Linked DNA regions of Sus scrofa. The protein of the gene in region 2 purifies or fractionates together with the protein of the main gene of each other region. This does not show direct contact. Links are inferred from orthologs where the notes say so. Each region holds a gene or a part of one and is shown on either strand. Other genes may lie near its edges.

Region 1 (7,689 bases), on a different chromosome or scaffold from region 2:
ACCTTGATGCCAGCATCCCAGAGCTCTGAGACCAGCTTCAGTCTCTCCTCCAGCAGCTTCTTCTGTGCAGATGCCACAAGCACCTGTGTCTCTGTGGTCCGGACCTTCTCCTCCAACGCCTAGGAAAGAAGCAGTTAAGAAGGAGCTGGGCTATCCTTTCAAGACCTTCAGTGGGCAAACGGAGCAGGCTCTTGTCAGGATTCTGAGCCCAGGCCCAACTCTGCCAGAGCAAGCCAGTCTTCTCATCTAGCAACTGGGCAAACAGTAGTTCTTAGAAGAATAAGAAATGAACTGACTGGGTGTTCCCGCTGTGGTGCAGCGGAAACGAATCCGACTAAGAACCATGAAGTCAAGGGTTCGATCCCTGGCCTTGCTCAGTGGGTTAAGGATCTGGCCTTGCCGTGAGCTGTGGTGTAGGGTGCAAATGTGGCTCAGCTACTGTGTTGCTGTGGCTGTGGGTGTAGACCAGCAGCTGTAGCTCCATTCGACCCCTAGCCTGGGAACCTCCATATGCTGCGGGTGCGGCCCTAAAAAGCAAAAAAGAAATGACCTGACTGGCTTGTGTGTGACTTGCCAGAATAAATAATGTAGGGCAGGAGTTCCCTGGTAGCTCAGTGGGATAAGGGTTGGTGTTATTGCTGCTGTGGCATGGGTTCGATCCCTGGCTGAGAACTTCTTTGAGTTGTGGGTATGCCCCCCTGCCCCCCCCCCCAATGCAGGGCACAGGTAGCTCATGTATAGTAACTTCAAGCTTATCTCCACCTAGAACCTTATGGGTCCACAGGAGCATTCACAAGAAAGTGACATTCTGAGCTCACCCAGGTAAGCCGGTTCCCCCTGGCAGTTCTAGTTCCCACTTGCTATTTGTCCAGTCAAGAGGCTGTGACTCTTACACTTCAGCCACAAGGCACAAATCGGGGGTTGTGTGGGTAGAGGGGAGACAGAATGCTGCTGCTGCTGCTGCTGCCAGCATCTTTTTATGGAAAACTCCTCTTATTGTTCTTAAAACATAAGATGCCTGCTGCAACAGTGACCTCACTGGAAAACGCGAGTGGTTTTCACTCTAGAGAAGAGGATGGGAGGCGGCGGAAGGTGACTGCCAGAGCACTCCCCCGGAGGAACTAGAATCAGCCACTTAAGAGCAGCAGCAACAGAGGTGCGCTTGAGGCCACCAAGGGCGTTCCTCGTGTGACTCTAGGTGCTGGAGAGTCCAGAGAACCATCTGAGGGATCCTGGAGCCGCAGACACATGCTTCCCACTTAGAGACGAAATCGCAAGCTGGCTGGGAGCCTGGATTCAAATTCTGACTCTGCCACTTATATCTTGGGTAAATTATTTGATCTATAATCTTCAGTTTCCTTGTCTAAGAAATGTAAATAATAAAAGCAGCTCCTGTCAGAGGGCTATTTAGGAATTTTATTAGACAATGCATGAAAAGCACTAAGCACCGTGCCTGGCACAGGGTAGTAAAATATTAAGTATTTTGTATTATGAGGACAATCCAGGTCTTTGGACACAGTGGCCTAGATTCCCGACAGCCCCGAGGGAAACAGGGACCCAGAGCCAAGGGTTTGGTGAAGAAAGAAGGGTCAGAGCTCCATCAGGCTGGCCTATAATGGGGCGGAAGTCCGTGAAGGACAGCAATTATCTTTTGCAAGTTCCTTTGCAAAGAGGCTCCTTGTCCAAAGCAGTACTGCTTGCCTCCTTGGAAGATAGCTCAGGTGCCACCAGCTGCCAGAATGTCGCCCACCCAGCCCCAAGACCTACCTCCAGCCTCTGCTCGACGATGGAGAAGATCCGCTCTACCCCAATGCTGAGTCCCACGCACGGCACCTTGCGCCCTTTGGGGTCAAACATGCCCACCAGCCCATCATAGCGCCCTCCAGCGGCCACACTGCCCACACCCAGGGGTTCTTCTCCAGCTTGGGCAGGGGGCTGCAGCAGCACCGCCTCATAGATCACCCCGGTATAGTAGTCCAGCCCTCGAGCAAGGCTCAGGTCGAAGGAGATCTGGGGGGATAAGAGCAAGCTCAGTTCCGGATGAGGCTCAAGGTCCTCCAGCCCCAGGGCTCCCGCATCAAACGGACTCACCTTGTCAGCGACGCCAAACAGGGTCAGGTATTCAAATAGCAGCTTCAGGTCTCCCAGGCCCTCCAAGGCCTGTTTGTTTTGGGACAGTTTAGGATCCTGGAGTAGCTGTTCCACCAGGGATACCCCGCCTAGGGAGACAGATTTGTGAGCCAGACTAATGAGAAAAAGGTAAGGGCTCTACCTTTTCCTCTGGACCACTTGCGCAGGCAGGCCTGTGTGCAGACACACACACACACACACACACACACACACACTCCCCCTCTCTCCTGTGCATCTACACACACAGAGGAGCTTGGGCTTTAGGCTTGAGGACAGTGGGACGGCTGCCGGGGAGGCGGGTTGGTTGCTCACCGTGCTGTTGGACGTAGTCCCCAATGCGGTCGGCCACCTCGGGTGCCAGGCCCTTCTCTCCCACCATCTCATTCTTTACTTCTTCCCAGGACATCTGGGCAGACAGATGCCGCCAGTCAGGGACCCCCTGGGCAGCTTCTCCACTGCCAGCAAGTGTGGGCCTCCTAGAGTGGCGGTCTTGAGCAGAACCTGCCCGCCAGCCTACATCCTGGGGTGTCTTCCTCTGGGGGGGACGGAGGCAGGGCCCTCTCGCTCCTCATCATTTCCACTTCACAGGGCAGGGAGGGGGTCCATGAAAAGACGAGTTGAGTGCTGGGGTCGTTACCTTGTCCAGCTTGTCCACCGAGGAGCAGATGGTGCGGAACTTGGTGTCAGGAACACCGCAGATGGCAAACAGCCCATCCAGGATGCGCCGATCATTCACCTGCAGCAGTGAGGAGCAGAGGCTCCCGCTACATGCCACGCAACAGCCTTGGACGCGTGCGCTACTGGTCCCTCTGCACCAGGACCTGCTCCTGTGAGAGGCCAGGCCCAGCTGTGCCCTCCCAGCCCCACTGAGCGCTGACCTTGACCAGAAAATCGCCTATCTGGAGTGAACTCAGGATTTCACACATGATCTTCAGGCACTCCGCATCGGGAATCATGGGGTCAAACTGCCCGGCAATGTCAAAGTCCTGCAGGGACAGGGGGAGTGAGAGGTCCTCGGGGGTTAACCTGTTTGGGGGGAGGACCCTTGGGGGCTCTGCTCTCTAGGAAGGAGGCCTCCTTGGACTCACGTGCAGAGCCCCTTCTTCATGCTGTTGGTCTGTCAGCCCAGAGCAACACCTCAGCCTCCCGGGTCCCTTCCCAGTCCTGGTTTCCTTCCCATCTGTTGGGCTAGTCTCTCATTATCTCACTCGTCTCTTTTCCCTTCTTTCCTTCCACTGTCCTGGGGCCCTCTGCAGCCTTCATCATTTTCTCTGTTCATTCAGAAGCTCTGCTGCCACTCTGGTCAATGATACCTCGAAGCCAATTCTTTTATCCATCGCTGTGATTCTATCACTATGGTTTAATATAAAGAGCACTGGACCAAGAGTTCTAATCTGGCCTTTCTTTGTGTTGTGTTTTTTTTTTTTAAGGGCCGCACCTGTGGCATATGGAGGTTCCCAGGCTGGGGGTGGAAGTGGAGCTGTAGCTGCCACCACAGCCACAGCACTGCGGGATCCGAGCCCTGTGCGCGACCTACACCACAGCTCACAGCAACACCAGGTCCTTAACCCACTGAGCGAGGCCAGGGATCGAACTTGTGTCCTCGTGGATCCTAGTCAGGTTCCTTACCGCTGAGCCACACCGGGAACTCCCTAACTTTCTTTTCTTATCCCTATGATCCCCTCATCTGGCTGAGCCTCAAGATTACTCATACGTAAAATGAGGAGAATAATCCCTGCCCTGCAAGTGAAAATACTAAAGAAATCTCAGGCTTAACATTATCTGGGGCACCCAGTTTGTTCAGGACACCACGAGGACGCAACAGATTCCCCTGGCTTGCGGGAGGGCCACCTTAGCCGGCCTGCCCCCGAACTCACACACTGGTAGAATTCCCGATACCGGCCTCTGGTCATTGCTGGGTTATCCCGCCGATACACTTTGGCTATGTGGTAGCGTTTAATATTGGTCAGTTTATTCATTGCCAAGTATCGCGCAAAAGGAACCTGATGAGAGAGTTAAGGAGAAAGTCCCTCCTATCGCAGGCGGCAAGTGGATTATCACCACGAGCAGAAGCTGGGGTCCGACCCCACCCTCTGTGGGTAAAACCGGCACCGGTTAGATGAACAGCTTTCCTGTACCCCAGCAAGAACCACCTTCGCTACCGCAAGGGACAGCTGAAATCTCCAAAAACACTAAGGCTCTTTTCTTTGGGGGCTGAGCTGAGCACAGCAGGGGCTGGGCAGACTGGCCGGGGAGCAGCAAAAGGGCCCCGTGGAGGATCTCTAAGCGTATGATGCGCGGACGTAGCCTGGAGATAAAGGACACGTGCTGTTGGTCAACGAAAGAGAACTCTGCCCACCGGACAGGGCAAGTGAGACGGATTCTGGAGCCACGGGATTGCTGGCGGAGACCTGGGCCCTACCTAAAGCTGAGGTCCCGCTCAGGATTCACAGGCCTTCTTTTTTTTTTTTTTTTTTGTCTTTTGTCTTTGTTGTTGTTGTTGTTGTTGCTATTTCTTGGGCCGCTCCCGCAGCATATGGAGGTTCCCAGGCTAGGGGTCCAGTCGGAGCTGTAGCCACCGGCCTACGCCAGAGCCACAGCAACGCGGGATCCGAGCCGCGTCTGCAACCTACACCACAGCTCACGGCAACGCCAGATCGTTAACCCACTGAGCAAGTGCAGGGACCGAACCCACAACCTCATGGTTCCTAGTCGGATTCGTTAACCACTGCGCCACGACGGGAACTCCTGGCCTTCTAAGGCTATAGTCTGTTTTGCCAATGTCTTGCTCCTGGTTTAGAGAAATAATTTCCCTGACTGCAAAATGCATCATAGTTGATCCCACCTGTGTCTAGCTGTCCCCAAGCCTGAAGCTAGAAAAAGCCCCAGTCCAGTTAAGGGCCAATCCATCCCAAGTGTAAAAAGATACAGTGAGGTCATAGCGGAGGGACAGCAGCTCGCCACCCTGGTCCTTCAGGTCATAGATAAGCTTAGAGTCTTCCCCGTACTTTCCAGTCAGTGTTTCCTGGAGAAAACAGAAAGAAATGGGATCACCCCGTAAGTATAACAATTTAACAGCAAGTTTTAAAAACAAAAACTACCACTCTCACATGACTGATTTCAGCCTATTTACTCTTCCTCTGCTCTCTCTTCCGATGTTTATTTATTTGATGTGGTTATAATCAAAAGGAAACCCCGCTTTTGTTTTCTATTTATCACATTTCCATTTTGTGACAGAGCAGAAGTACTATTTAAATTTTTTTTTTTTACTTTTTGCCTGTACCTGCAACATATAGAAGTTCCTGCATCAGGGATCAAACCCTTGCCACAGCAGCAAGCCCAGCCACTGCAGTGACAACGCCAGATCCTTATCCTGCTGGGCCACCAGAGGAACTCCCTGAAGAGTTATTTTTATTTCTATTATTTATTTATTTATTTACTTGTCTTTTTGTCTTTTCTAGGGCTGCACCTGCAGCATATGGAGGTTCCCAGGCTAGGGGTCCAATGGGAGCTGTAGCCGCCGGCCTACACCAGAGCCACAGGAACTGGGGATCTGAGATCCAAGCTGCATCTGCGACCTACACCACAGCTCACGGCAATGCCGGATCCTTAACCCACTGAGCAAGGCCAGGGACCGAACCTGAAACCTCATGGTTCCTAGTCGGATTCACTAACCACTGAGCCACGATGGGAGCTCCTGAAGTGTTACTTAAAAGCTGCATAATTCCAGTGAGAAGAAGCTCTGTATCTCCTTCCTGCCTAGTGTTTCACTAATAGATGTTTAGGCTATACCAACTGAAAAAAACCATTCTGAAACAATACATTTCTGTTGTTTGTTTGAGCCATCCAGTCTATGGCAGTTTGTTATGGCAGCCTTAGCAAACTAACATAGTTGGTAGAAATAGGATTGAGGTCACTCAGAAATTCTACTTCTGTGAATTTACCCTGCAGTTAAACACCGACAGTACCAGACACTGTTCTAAGCCCAGCATACACATCACATCCGTGAACAAAGGCAGCCCAGGCCCTCATGGATCTTCTATAGTCATGAGAAGAGACAGGCAGGACACTAATGCAAGGAAACCAAGTAACAGGTAATTAATTTTCTTTTTCAGCTGCACCTGCAGCATATGGACGTTCTGGGCTAGGGATCAAATCCAAGCTGGAGCTGTGACCTCGGCCACAGCTGCGGCAATCCTGGAACATCAGCCCAGTGCGCCAGGCTGAGGACTGAAGCAACAGCTCCACAGAGACCAGCTGGATCGTGAACCTGCTGCACTGCAGTGGGAACACCTATTTACTCATTTATTTTGGCTGAGGTGTGCAGCTGCTTGATGTGGGATCTCAGTTCCCAGACCAGGTATTGAACTCTGGCCACAGTGGTGCAAGCACTGAGTCCTAACCACTAAACCACCAGGAATTCCCAAGAACAGTTTCTTTTCATTTGGCTGCGCATTGGTGAGGGATTGAACTCACACCACTGCAATGACCTAAGCAACAGCAGTGGCAATGCCAGATCCTCTAACCTTTGGGCCACCATGGAACTCCCCGAGAACTTTTTTTTTTTGGCTGCTCCACGGCATATGGAGCTCCCAGGGATCAGATCTGAGCTGCAGTTACGACCCAAGCCACAGCTGCAGCAATGCCAGATCCATAACCCACTGTGCCGGGCCGGAACTCCCTAAGAATTTTGCCTTTTTTTTTTTTGCTTCGAAGCTACGGCTGCTGGCCTACCTCACAGCCACAGCAATGCGGGATCCAAGCCATGTCTGCCACCTACACCACAGCTCACAGCAATGCCCGATCGCTGGCCCACTGAGTGAGGCCAGGGATCAAACGTGTATCCTCATGGATACTAGTCGGATTTGTTTCTACTGGGAACTCCCAAGAACTGTCTTTTTTTAATAGCAAAGAACTGGAAACAACCTCAAGGTCAATCAGTGAGGAGACTGGCTGCATACTTATCCTTTACATGTTTGGTCTGCATGTACCTGGGACAAACTCAAGGACAGGTGCCATGGAATTCAGTGTAGACAGGAGCCACACCAATGTCCACTCCTGAGAGGTGCTCTCTTTTGGAAGCTGCTGGCCACAACGAAGGTAAATTAAAAAGCAGGGCCTCGAAGTTCCCTTTGTGGGGAAGCGGAATTGAATCCGACGAGGCACCATGAGGTTGTGGGTTTGATCCCCAGCCTGGCTCAGTGGGGTGAGGATCCGGCGTTGCCGTGAGCTGTGGGGTAGGTCGCAGATGCGCCTCGGCTCCCGTGTTGCTGTGGCTGTGGTGTAGGCCGGCAGCTGTAGCTCCAATTCAACCCCTAGCCTGGGAACCTCCATATGCTGCAGGTGGGGCCCTAAAAAAAAGCAGAAAAAAAAAAAAACAGGGCCTCTCCCTCTATGCCAGTCCCGTGCTGCTTCTCCTGGAGAAAAGATCCACATTCTTCTGCAACAAGAGAGAGCCCTTTGGGCCTCACTGGCCTGCCCTCCTCTTTGTTGTCCGTGCAGCTCCTCTTCGTCCCTCACTCACCTTCAGTTCAAACACAGGAGTGTCGATCACTTCCG
Region 2 (8,252 bases):
CGTTTTGTCCCCAGGGTCCTGGGGAGAGCCGCTCTCTGCAGAGGGACAAGTCCAAGCCTCTCTCTGCCATCTCTGGTCCCTGCTGGGACCGCAGAGTGGGTGCTTCCCCAACCAGGGTTCCCCGTGTGGCTGCCCTGGCTCCGGGACAGCAGCCTCAGGGTCCCAGCTCTGACCCCAGCCTGGCCTCAAGCTCCCCTTCCAGGCCCCACTCTGGGCCTCCTCTTGGCGACAATCAGTGCTGACTGAGCCTGGGAAGCGGCAGCGCCACAGCCCGCACCCACCTCCCACCTCCCTGGCCTTCTGGGCACCGGGAATGTTTGCTTCGATCAAATTCCAGCGGGCTGCGACCAACTGGGACCGGTCTCCTGCCTGCTGAGTCACGGTGTGCCCCACACCCCGCGCTGTCTGGTCTCGCCGTGCCCTTTGGGATTAAGCAGCGACAGAACCTGCTTGCTTCAGTCAGCTCAGCCCCCAAACCAGCGGCCCGCTGGGCTCCAGGTCACCCATGGGAACGGCGAGGTAGGACCCAGGACAGCGGGGACAGGGGGCCCACCTGGGCCAGACTCCTCTGTGCGAAGGAAGCCGTGTGGGGAGGGGCACACCGCGTGCGGGGGCGGCTGAGGGCCAAGGGCTCCTGGCGGGGAGGCGGTGGGAGGCCTTTCATCTCCCCCAACCCCCCTTCTGCCTGCGGACCAGAGCAGGGGAGGAACCGCCTGGGGACACTCAGTGACTTTGCAGGAGAAGCAAGACCTGATTAAGACTTCCGGCTGCCAGGAACAGGAAAGGGCCCGGCTGGGGCATAGGGACCTGGGGCACCACCTGCCTGTCACCGCCCAGATCTGACCTCAGTCTCCAGGTCTCTAAAGTCTCAGTCCCTGAGTGTTTCCGGGCCGAGGGTGCGGCAGTGAACTCTGGAGGCCCGGCAGGGGTGGGCCATCCTTGTCCCCCTGTGGTCACTCGGGTCAAGGACCCACCCAGCCCCTGAGGCGAGAGAACCTGGGGCTGGCGAGCCAGGCTGGGCCGCAAAAGCAACAAAACGGCCCTCCCTCCTACACCCGGGGCCCATGAATCACCGGCCTTTGGGGGTGCGCCAGCGTCACCATGACACAGCAAGAACCTTATCGGCCCAGTGGCGGGGGCGGGGGGGGGGGGGAGCTCAGAAACACCCTGAGGACAGGGAGGGTCCAGGGACCTTGTGGGCTGGGTGGGGATCTGAGGCTGAGGGGTGAGGGGCGAGGGACCCTCCGGCAGCCAGGCAGCCAATCTTGCCCGAGGGCTCCCAGGCCCTTCTCCTGCCCTCCCCCCCTCCTCCGCCATCTCCGGTGGGGGGGGGGAGTGGCCCCAGCCTGGCCGAGGTCCTATCAGATGGGGGCAGACGCATCTGCCAGACCCAACGGTACTCTGTTCTCGCAGAAACGGAATCCTTTCATTCCAGAGCTCTCTGGACTGGGACAGTGAGTTAGCTCCTCTCCCTTCCTGCTGACGTGAGAGTCCCGAGAAGGGAAGAGAGAGTGGCCTAAAGCCATTGGGTAACTCCTGAGCAGCACTGGGCCGCCCCCAGGAAGGAAGTGGGGCGTGCGGGCAACGGGTGGGCAGGCAGGCGAGGGCGAAGCGGCAGAGGACAGCCCGGGGCTCCAGGTCTGCTCTTCCCTCCGGGTGCCAGGCTCCTGTGGCCCTGGCTCTGCGGACACCAAGGCCTGCTGGTGTCTTCTGTCACATGCGCTCACCCTGGGCCCCCGCCAGGCTGGGGAGCAGGGGCTCCAGCACGCGCCGTGCCAGACGGCTGAACGAACAGAGACCTCACTGGTTTCCTGGAGCAGCAGGTTCCGGATGGGAGGCCGAGCTCAGACCCTGCTGCTCCGTGCAACCAGCAAGTTCTCTGTGCGGCTGCTGCCACCCCCTGGGGAGGAGGGAGGGAGGGACACCTTAGAGGGTGGCGGGGGGCGGGAGCTGTTCCAGGTGCTGCCCGAGCCAGCCCCGAGCCGGGGCGCCCCCAAGCCTGGGCGCCCCTGCCGAGCAGGAGGAGGGAGAAACAAACAAGGAGGCTCCTCCCCCAGGACCCCCGGCGCCCCCACTCCACCTGCAGAGCCGCCCCGGAGCAGAGGAGAGCAAAGGGGAACCCAGCCGATTGCAAAGACACGAAGTTGCCTAACCCAGAGCCAGGCCACAAGAGAAGGCCACCAGGGGTCAGAGGGTCGGCTCCGCAGGGCCCTGGGCACTTGTTTCAAAAGCCCTCAGTCGATAAGTGGAGACAACGAGGGAAAAGACACTTGGCCCAGGTCACACCTGGCTGCTCTCGGCGAGGCGCAGCGCCTGGGGCCACGGGCCACTTCCGGAGGCCTGCGACAGGCTGGGGTGGGGATGGAGGAAGGAGGAAAAACCATCCGGGTTCTTGGATGAAGGGCCGAATGGTCAGAGTTCCAAGTGTTAAGGTTTGAGGCTCCTCTAAGCGGACCGGGCTGGGGCCAGGGTGCAGGATAAGCCTGTCCCCCTGTGTGTTCCTCCTGCGCACCCCCCAGTCGCCGGGTGACAAAGGTTCAAGGGATAGTGCTTAAGGTAGCCTTCGCCTTCTGGCTCTCCTTTTCCAAGTCCTGCCCAGAATCACAAAGTCGGCAGGGAGCAGGCGGTGAGTTCCCCAGAGCTGAGAGGACAGCAGCGTGGAAGGCACAGAGGGACAGTGGCCTGCCCTGTCAAGAGCTAAGGAGTTCCGGTAGGACTCTCGCTCAAGGTCTATACAGTAAGTTACCCGCAAAGCAGTGGATGCCACGGGTAGCAGATTCTTGGTCACATCCAAGGTTAAGAGGGAAAAGAGGACACAGATCACTTGCACAGGAAACCCCAGCAGGCCGCCTGCGTCTTGCCCCATGGGAGAGCTTGGGTCGCACGGCACGGCATGCAGAGGGAGTTTAGGCTGCGGGTCATGGCTCTCTGAGGAGCCACCCCCTTCTGTGTCTACTCTTTGGCCTTTCTGATCAGAGCAAAATGGCAGGTCCACTGGCTAGACAATGGGGCTGGTCGTAGCTCCTGAGCAGGCCCTAGAAGCTGGGGCAAAGAGATGCTGCTCAAAGCAAAGTTGAGTGTTTGTCCTCACGGAACCTGACGTGGCAGACACAAGGTGGAGATCAGACCTCAGATCCTACCTCTGGAACTAAACTGACTTCACGCCGTTTACCAAGTCAGACGCGAGTTTGGAAAACACACTCCCAGAATGAACAGCTTCCCCTGTTTGCCTCTCACTTTTCCCCACGGAGGAGGAAGTCCAAGCACACAGCCCCTGCGGACCTCCGGGCTCCAGGGCATGAGGCTGCAGCCAATGGCTGCACACAGACTTCAGCAAGGCCTTGCAATACGCCTACACCAGGGGGTGCTGGGGTGATAGTGGCGCAAGAGCAGGAGGGAGAGCCCAGCCAAGCAGAGCTGGAGAGGCCCTATAACAAGCAGGTGGGCGAGCCCAGGCACGGAGAGGGAAGGGACCTAAGCCATGTCCTGCTCTAAGTCTGCTGCATTTAAGATGTGGGGCCTGGGGGAGACTCACCGATGCTCCCATGATGATAAAGATATGTGTATCCGACTGATGGAAAGCATCGCCCTGGTACAGCTCTTCCCGCAGGATCCCGCACACTTGGGTCCGGCTCAGAGCCACCTGCTCTGCCATGGTACTCTCTGGAGGAAAAAAAACTTATTGATGAGGCAGGAGAACCGGAAAGCACTGAGAAGCTGGCTGGCCCCTTTCTGGAGGAGTCCTTTGGGCTCTCGTCCAGCTGATGCCTGATTACTGAAACCACTTGGTGGGAATGGCTGCGAGCAGGATGGTTGGGGGATGAGAAACTGCTGGCTCTGGTCATACTCTCCAGACAGCCTTCTTTCAGCGTGTACATTACAACATTACTCTAAGCATTAGTGGACTCCAACGAGGGCCTCAGCTCTGGGGGAGTAACACCAAGCTGGAACATCGGACCACCTGCTAAGGCCATCTCACCAAGGATTCAGGCGGAAGCTCCTCAATGAGCTGGAGCAAGTTAGATCAAGCAGCTGACAGTGTAGATCTAGTCCTCCTCCACCACCGCTGGGAGACCCCGGCCAATCCCCGCCCCTCTCGGGGTCCCCTCAGGGGCCCAATGGGGGTATGCAGGGGACGGTTAGATCAGTTAACACCCTCTCGATTTTGCCCCCTTCCCAAGCGTGGCAAATCAAAGCGTTCGCCCACTCAGTTACCTGTGCTTCACCGCTGCTGCCCTTCGCGCTCGCAGCCCCGGAGTTCCCGGCAGTTTCCTGGGGCTGCGCCCCGCCTGCCCATTTAACTGGCGGGGGCGGGCACCTGGTCTGAGCTGACCAGCCTCAGGCGAGGCGCGCGGGCGGGGCCTCCGTGTGCCCCTCCCCCGAGAGGCGGGGCGAGGCAGGTGCGCGCGCATCTCGGGCCGGTGGGACCCCCCCCCCCCCGCTCCCGCGCGAGGCCTGCCGGCCTGACCCGCTCCGCCCCTTGAGCACCTGCGCCGGCCGCCGGGCTGCGGGCCCCCTGCTGTCCTCGCCGCCGCTGCGCCGTGTCCCCGATGCTTCGCGAGTCCGTGTGCAGCTCCCCACAGCTCGCCCGCGTTCCCATCCCTGGCCTGGCCCCGCCCCTACAGTCTGGCTTTCTCGTCAGCCCGGGGTTGTCCTGCGCCCTCAAGAAGGGCTCCACTTCCGCCGGCAGCGTGGTCACGCCCCTCGACCCCACTTGTAGGCGGGGCCCTCTTTAGCCTCGCCCCCTCACTGGACGGGTCGTCGACTCCGATCAAACTGGCCCTATCACATGATAGCCTCGTCGTGGCTCCTCCCCTAGTGGGGGCGGGGCAGCCGACCTGCCGCTCGCTGGATGCCGCCGCCGGAGAGACAAGGGGAAATGCGGGTCGCGACGCATATTATTGAAGAGTGTCCTACGGGCCAGCCGAGCCTGGTACGCTCGGGCTTCCGTCTGGGGACAAGTCTCCCTCGCGCCTCTCGCGGGCCTGCTGGGGGCGGGGTGGGGGCGGAGTGTGAGTGTTTTACTTCCGGATCCCACAGCTACGACACCGGAAGCAGGAAATGGGAATTTGGCAGCCCGAGAAGGGAAGGGCGACCGCGGAACCCGAACTTTCTCCGAGCGCCGGGGTCCGAGGAGCGCTCGGGACCCGCCGCTCCCGCCCTTCTCACGTCGGACCGACTCTGCTGACAGGTGTGGTCCTCTTCTCCGAAGATAGGGTACTATTGGTGGGCGTTCCGCCACCTCCGAGACCCCCCCTGGACGACCAGGCTTTCCCCTCCTATTGGGCCCCGGCCCGGTTCTGCCGCCCGCTTCTAGATCACCCGCCGAGGCTGGCCAATTCAGGACCCAGGTTACTCTGGCGACGAGCGGGGCAGTTTTCGCCTCTCCTTCCTCTGCCGCGGCGGAGTCTGACCACACCCCTAGTTCGTGGATGACTATTCTACTTCGGAGACATTTTCTGTTCATCGAACTTGACTACATTTGAAGTTGTTAAGTTCTTTAAAAAAGCCTCAAGGGTAATTTGACAGCTAAGCATCTTTCCTCATGCGCTTCATTTTGCTCACTTTGCACAACGGTTAATGTCTGCCGGACCTCATATCAGTTCTGTGACTTGAGGATGAATGGGCCATAAGGAGGCCACTATACCTGGAATAGAGTGAGCGAGGGGGGAATAGTTAGAGAGGAAGCAATGGGGGACCAGATAGTGCACGGCCTACTATCTTGTTGTACGGGTTGTGGCTTTTTGGCGGAGGGCCATGAGGAACTATGGTAGGGATCTGGATAGAGGAGAGACGTGGTAGGAATTACCTTTTGGTCTGATTGTTCTGGCGCGGTGGGTAGAACAGACTGTACGTAGGGGGCAAGGGTTGGAGCAAGGTGATCTGCTAGGAGGTTATTGCAGTTATCCAGGTGAGAGATGATGGGGCTCGGATCGTTTTATTGTGAAAAATACCAAAGATGTGCAAAAGTAGAAAGGATAGTATAAACCCAAGGTACCCACCTCCCAGCGTCAACAGTTATCAACCTGTTGCTACCTTTGCTTAATTTATACCCCTCATAATCTCTTATTTTCAAAAATAGCTTTATTGACATATAATTCACATACCACACAATTCACCCATTGAAAGTGAACAATTCACTGCTTTTCAGTATATTCACACACCTGCACAACCATCACCATTCATTCTCGAACATTTTCATCAACCCATCACCTTATCTACTTCAGTTCTAAGCATCTATTAGTCTTTCCATCTCTCTATGTTTGCCTATTCTGGATAGTTCACATAAATGGACTCATAATATGTGGTTTCTTGTGAGCTGTTTCTCTGTGTTGCTCAGTGTTTTTTTTTTTTTTTTTTTTTTTTTTTTTTTTTTTGTCTTTTTGCCATTTCTTGGACCGCTCCCGGGCATATGGAGGTTCCCAGGCTAGGGGTCCAATCAGAGCTGTAGCCGCCGGCCTACACCAGAGCCACAGCAATGTGGGATCTGAGCCGTGTCTGCAACCTACACCACAGCTCAGGGCAACGCCGGATCGTTAACCCACTGAGCAAGGGCAGGGATCGAACCCGCAACCTCATGGTTCCTAGTCGGATTCGTTAACCACTGCGCCACTCCTGCTCAATATTATTAACATGGTAGGGTAGGAATGTACTAGATTGTGTTTATTCATCAGTCGATGGACATGTAGGTCATTTCCACCCTTTGGCCGCTAAGAGCAGTCTCACGTGGACCTGTGTTTTCATTTTTCTCAGGTACATACCGAGCAGGTCCCCCATTACCTTGAACCAAATTCCAGGCACCTTATAATTTCGCTGTAAATGTTTCAGGATGCATCTCTAAGAATGGACTTTGAAAGAAACAACCACAGTACCAAGTATCACACCTAAAATAAGTTAACATTAATTGCTTAGTGTCCTCAAATAGATTCTAAGATACCTTTTGACGGGATTTCCCAATGGATTAGACGTGAGCCCTGAGGGCCAGAGAGGACTCAAGAAGGACTCCCAGGTTGTGTCCTGCTGACCGGAGGGTGGACGTGCTGTCACCTAATAATAAGGGAGGCTGTGGGTGGAGCCGGCTTCTGGGGACTGTGAGCAGTGCAGTTCTGGAGAGGTGAGTTTTGAGAGGAGGATTAGATGTCCAGCCTGAGATGCTGAGTTTGATGCATGGGGGTTAAAGCTGGGAGTCTGGATGGAATTAGCGCTGGAGTAGCTGTAGTTAGAGAAAAGATGAGATCCCAGAAAGGAGCCCCGGAGCATCACAGCATGAAAAGTGTGGCGAGGATGGTCCACGGAAAGAGCCAGAGCAGGAGCAGCCAGTGAAGTGGTGGCTGTTCTGGACTCAGGGCTCAGCGGTTGGTCAGATAGTGCTGGTGGGTCAGGGGGTTATTCAGAGAAGTATCAGTGTAACAGCGAAACGTCCCAGCTTGTTTGGTGTTAAACGTCTCTAGCTGCAGCTCAGGCTCTCTCCTGGAAGCTTCTTTTGGGATCGGCTTCCTCCTCCATGTAGTCGGTTTTCTTGGGCAGGATTTAAAAGGGCTCCGGGCGGGTGCTGTCCCGCAGAGCGCCCCCCTGCCCCCGCCTCTAGTTCACAGGACGATGCACACAGCTCAGCCTGACTCTCGGCCCTGCCACCTTAGGCTGCAAGCCCAGCTCCCGCTTTCGGGTGCTCAGCTCCAGGGAATGCCCACCAGGTTCTGAGTGGTCTCTGTGAAGCCCTTCTCACTAGGTACATTGATTTCCTAGGCTGCCGTGAGAGAGTCCAAGGCAGATGGCTTAAGACAACAGCATTTGTCCTCTCTCCGTTCTGGAAACCAGGAGCCTGAAGTCAGGGCGTGGCAGGGCCCTGTTCCCTCTGGGGGCGCCAGGGGAGGGTCCTTCCTGCCTCTTCCAGCCTGTGGTGGCTCCAGGCATCTCTGGGCTGGGGCCGCATCACTCCAGTCTCTGCATCTTCACGTGGCTTCTTCTGTGTCTGTCTCTCCTTTTGTGTCTCTTAGAAGGACACTCATCATTGGATTTAGGGCTCCCCTGATCCAGGAGGACCTCATTTCAGATCCTTCACTTGTATTACATCCTTTTCCTTCTTTCCTTTTCCCTTTCCCTTTTTTTTTTTTTTTTTTTTTTTTTTTTTTTGCTTTTTAGGGCTACACTTGAGGTATATGGAAGTTCCCAGGCTAGGGGTCTCATTGGAGCTGCAGCTGCCAGCCCACATGAGTGAGAGCCACAGTGACACGGGATCTGAGCTGCGTCTG

What was found. Proteins that work in one complex are often made in the same cells at the same time.
Region 1: the proteins of G6PD (region 2) and HARS fractionate together in Homo sapiens (co-fractionation; 3 studies listed by BioGRID). This does not show direct contact. The link is inferred for Sus scrofa from reciprocal best matches to the Homo sapiens genes G6PD and HARS1.

Annotation. Positions count from the first base shown.
Region 1 is NC_010444.4:142,388,626-142,396,314, forward strand, and holds part of HARS (histidine--tRNA ligase, cytoplasmic), read right to left. Parts: coding exon 7,655-7,689; intron 5,156-7,654; coding exon 5,060-5,155; intron 4,134-5,059; coding exon 4,008-4,133; intron 3,117-4,007; coding exon 3,009-3,116; intron 2,867-3,008; coding exon 2,768-2,866; intron 2,537-2,767; coding exon 2,443-2,536; intron 2,220-2,442; coding exon 1,768-2,219; intron 120-1,767; coding exon 3-119; intron 1-2. UniProt on the Homo sapiens protein: Catalyzes the ATP-dependent ligation of histidine to the 3'-end of its cognate tRNA, via the formation of an aminoacyl-adenylate intermediate (His-AMP). Plays a role in axon guidance.
Region 2 is NC_010461.5:125,036,088-125,044,339, forward strand, and holds the start of G6PD (glucose-6-phosphate 1-dehydrogenase), read right to left. Parts: upstream 4,954-8,252; 5' UTR 4,934-4,953; coding exon of another isoform or gene 4,853-4,933; 5' UTR 4,601-4,852; coding exon 4,489-4,600; intron 4,362-4,488; exon of another isoform or gene 4,216-4,361; intron 3,664-4,215; coding exon 3,536-3,663; intron 520-3,535; exon of another isoform or gene 1-519. Other genes in the region: IKBKG (NF-kappa-B essential modulator), read left to right, coding at 4,853-4,933. UniProt on the Homo sapiens protein: Catalyzes the rate-limiting step of the oxidative pentose-phosphate pathway, which represents a route for the dissimilation of carbohydrates besides glycolysis.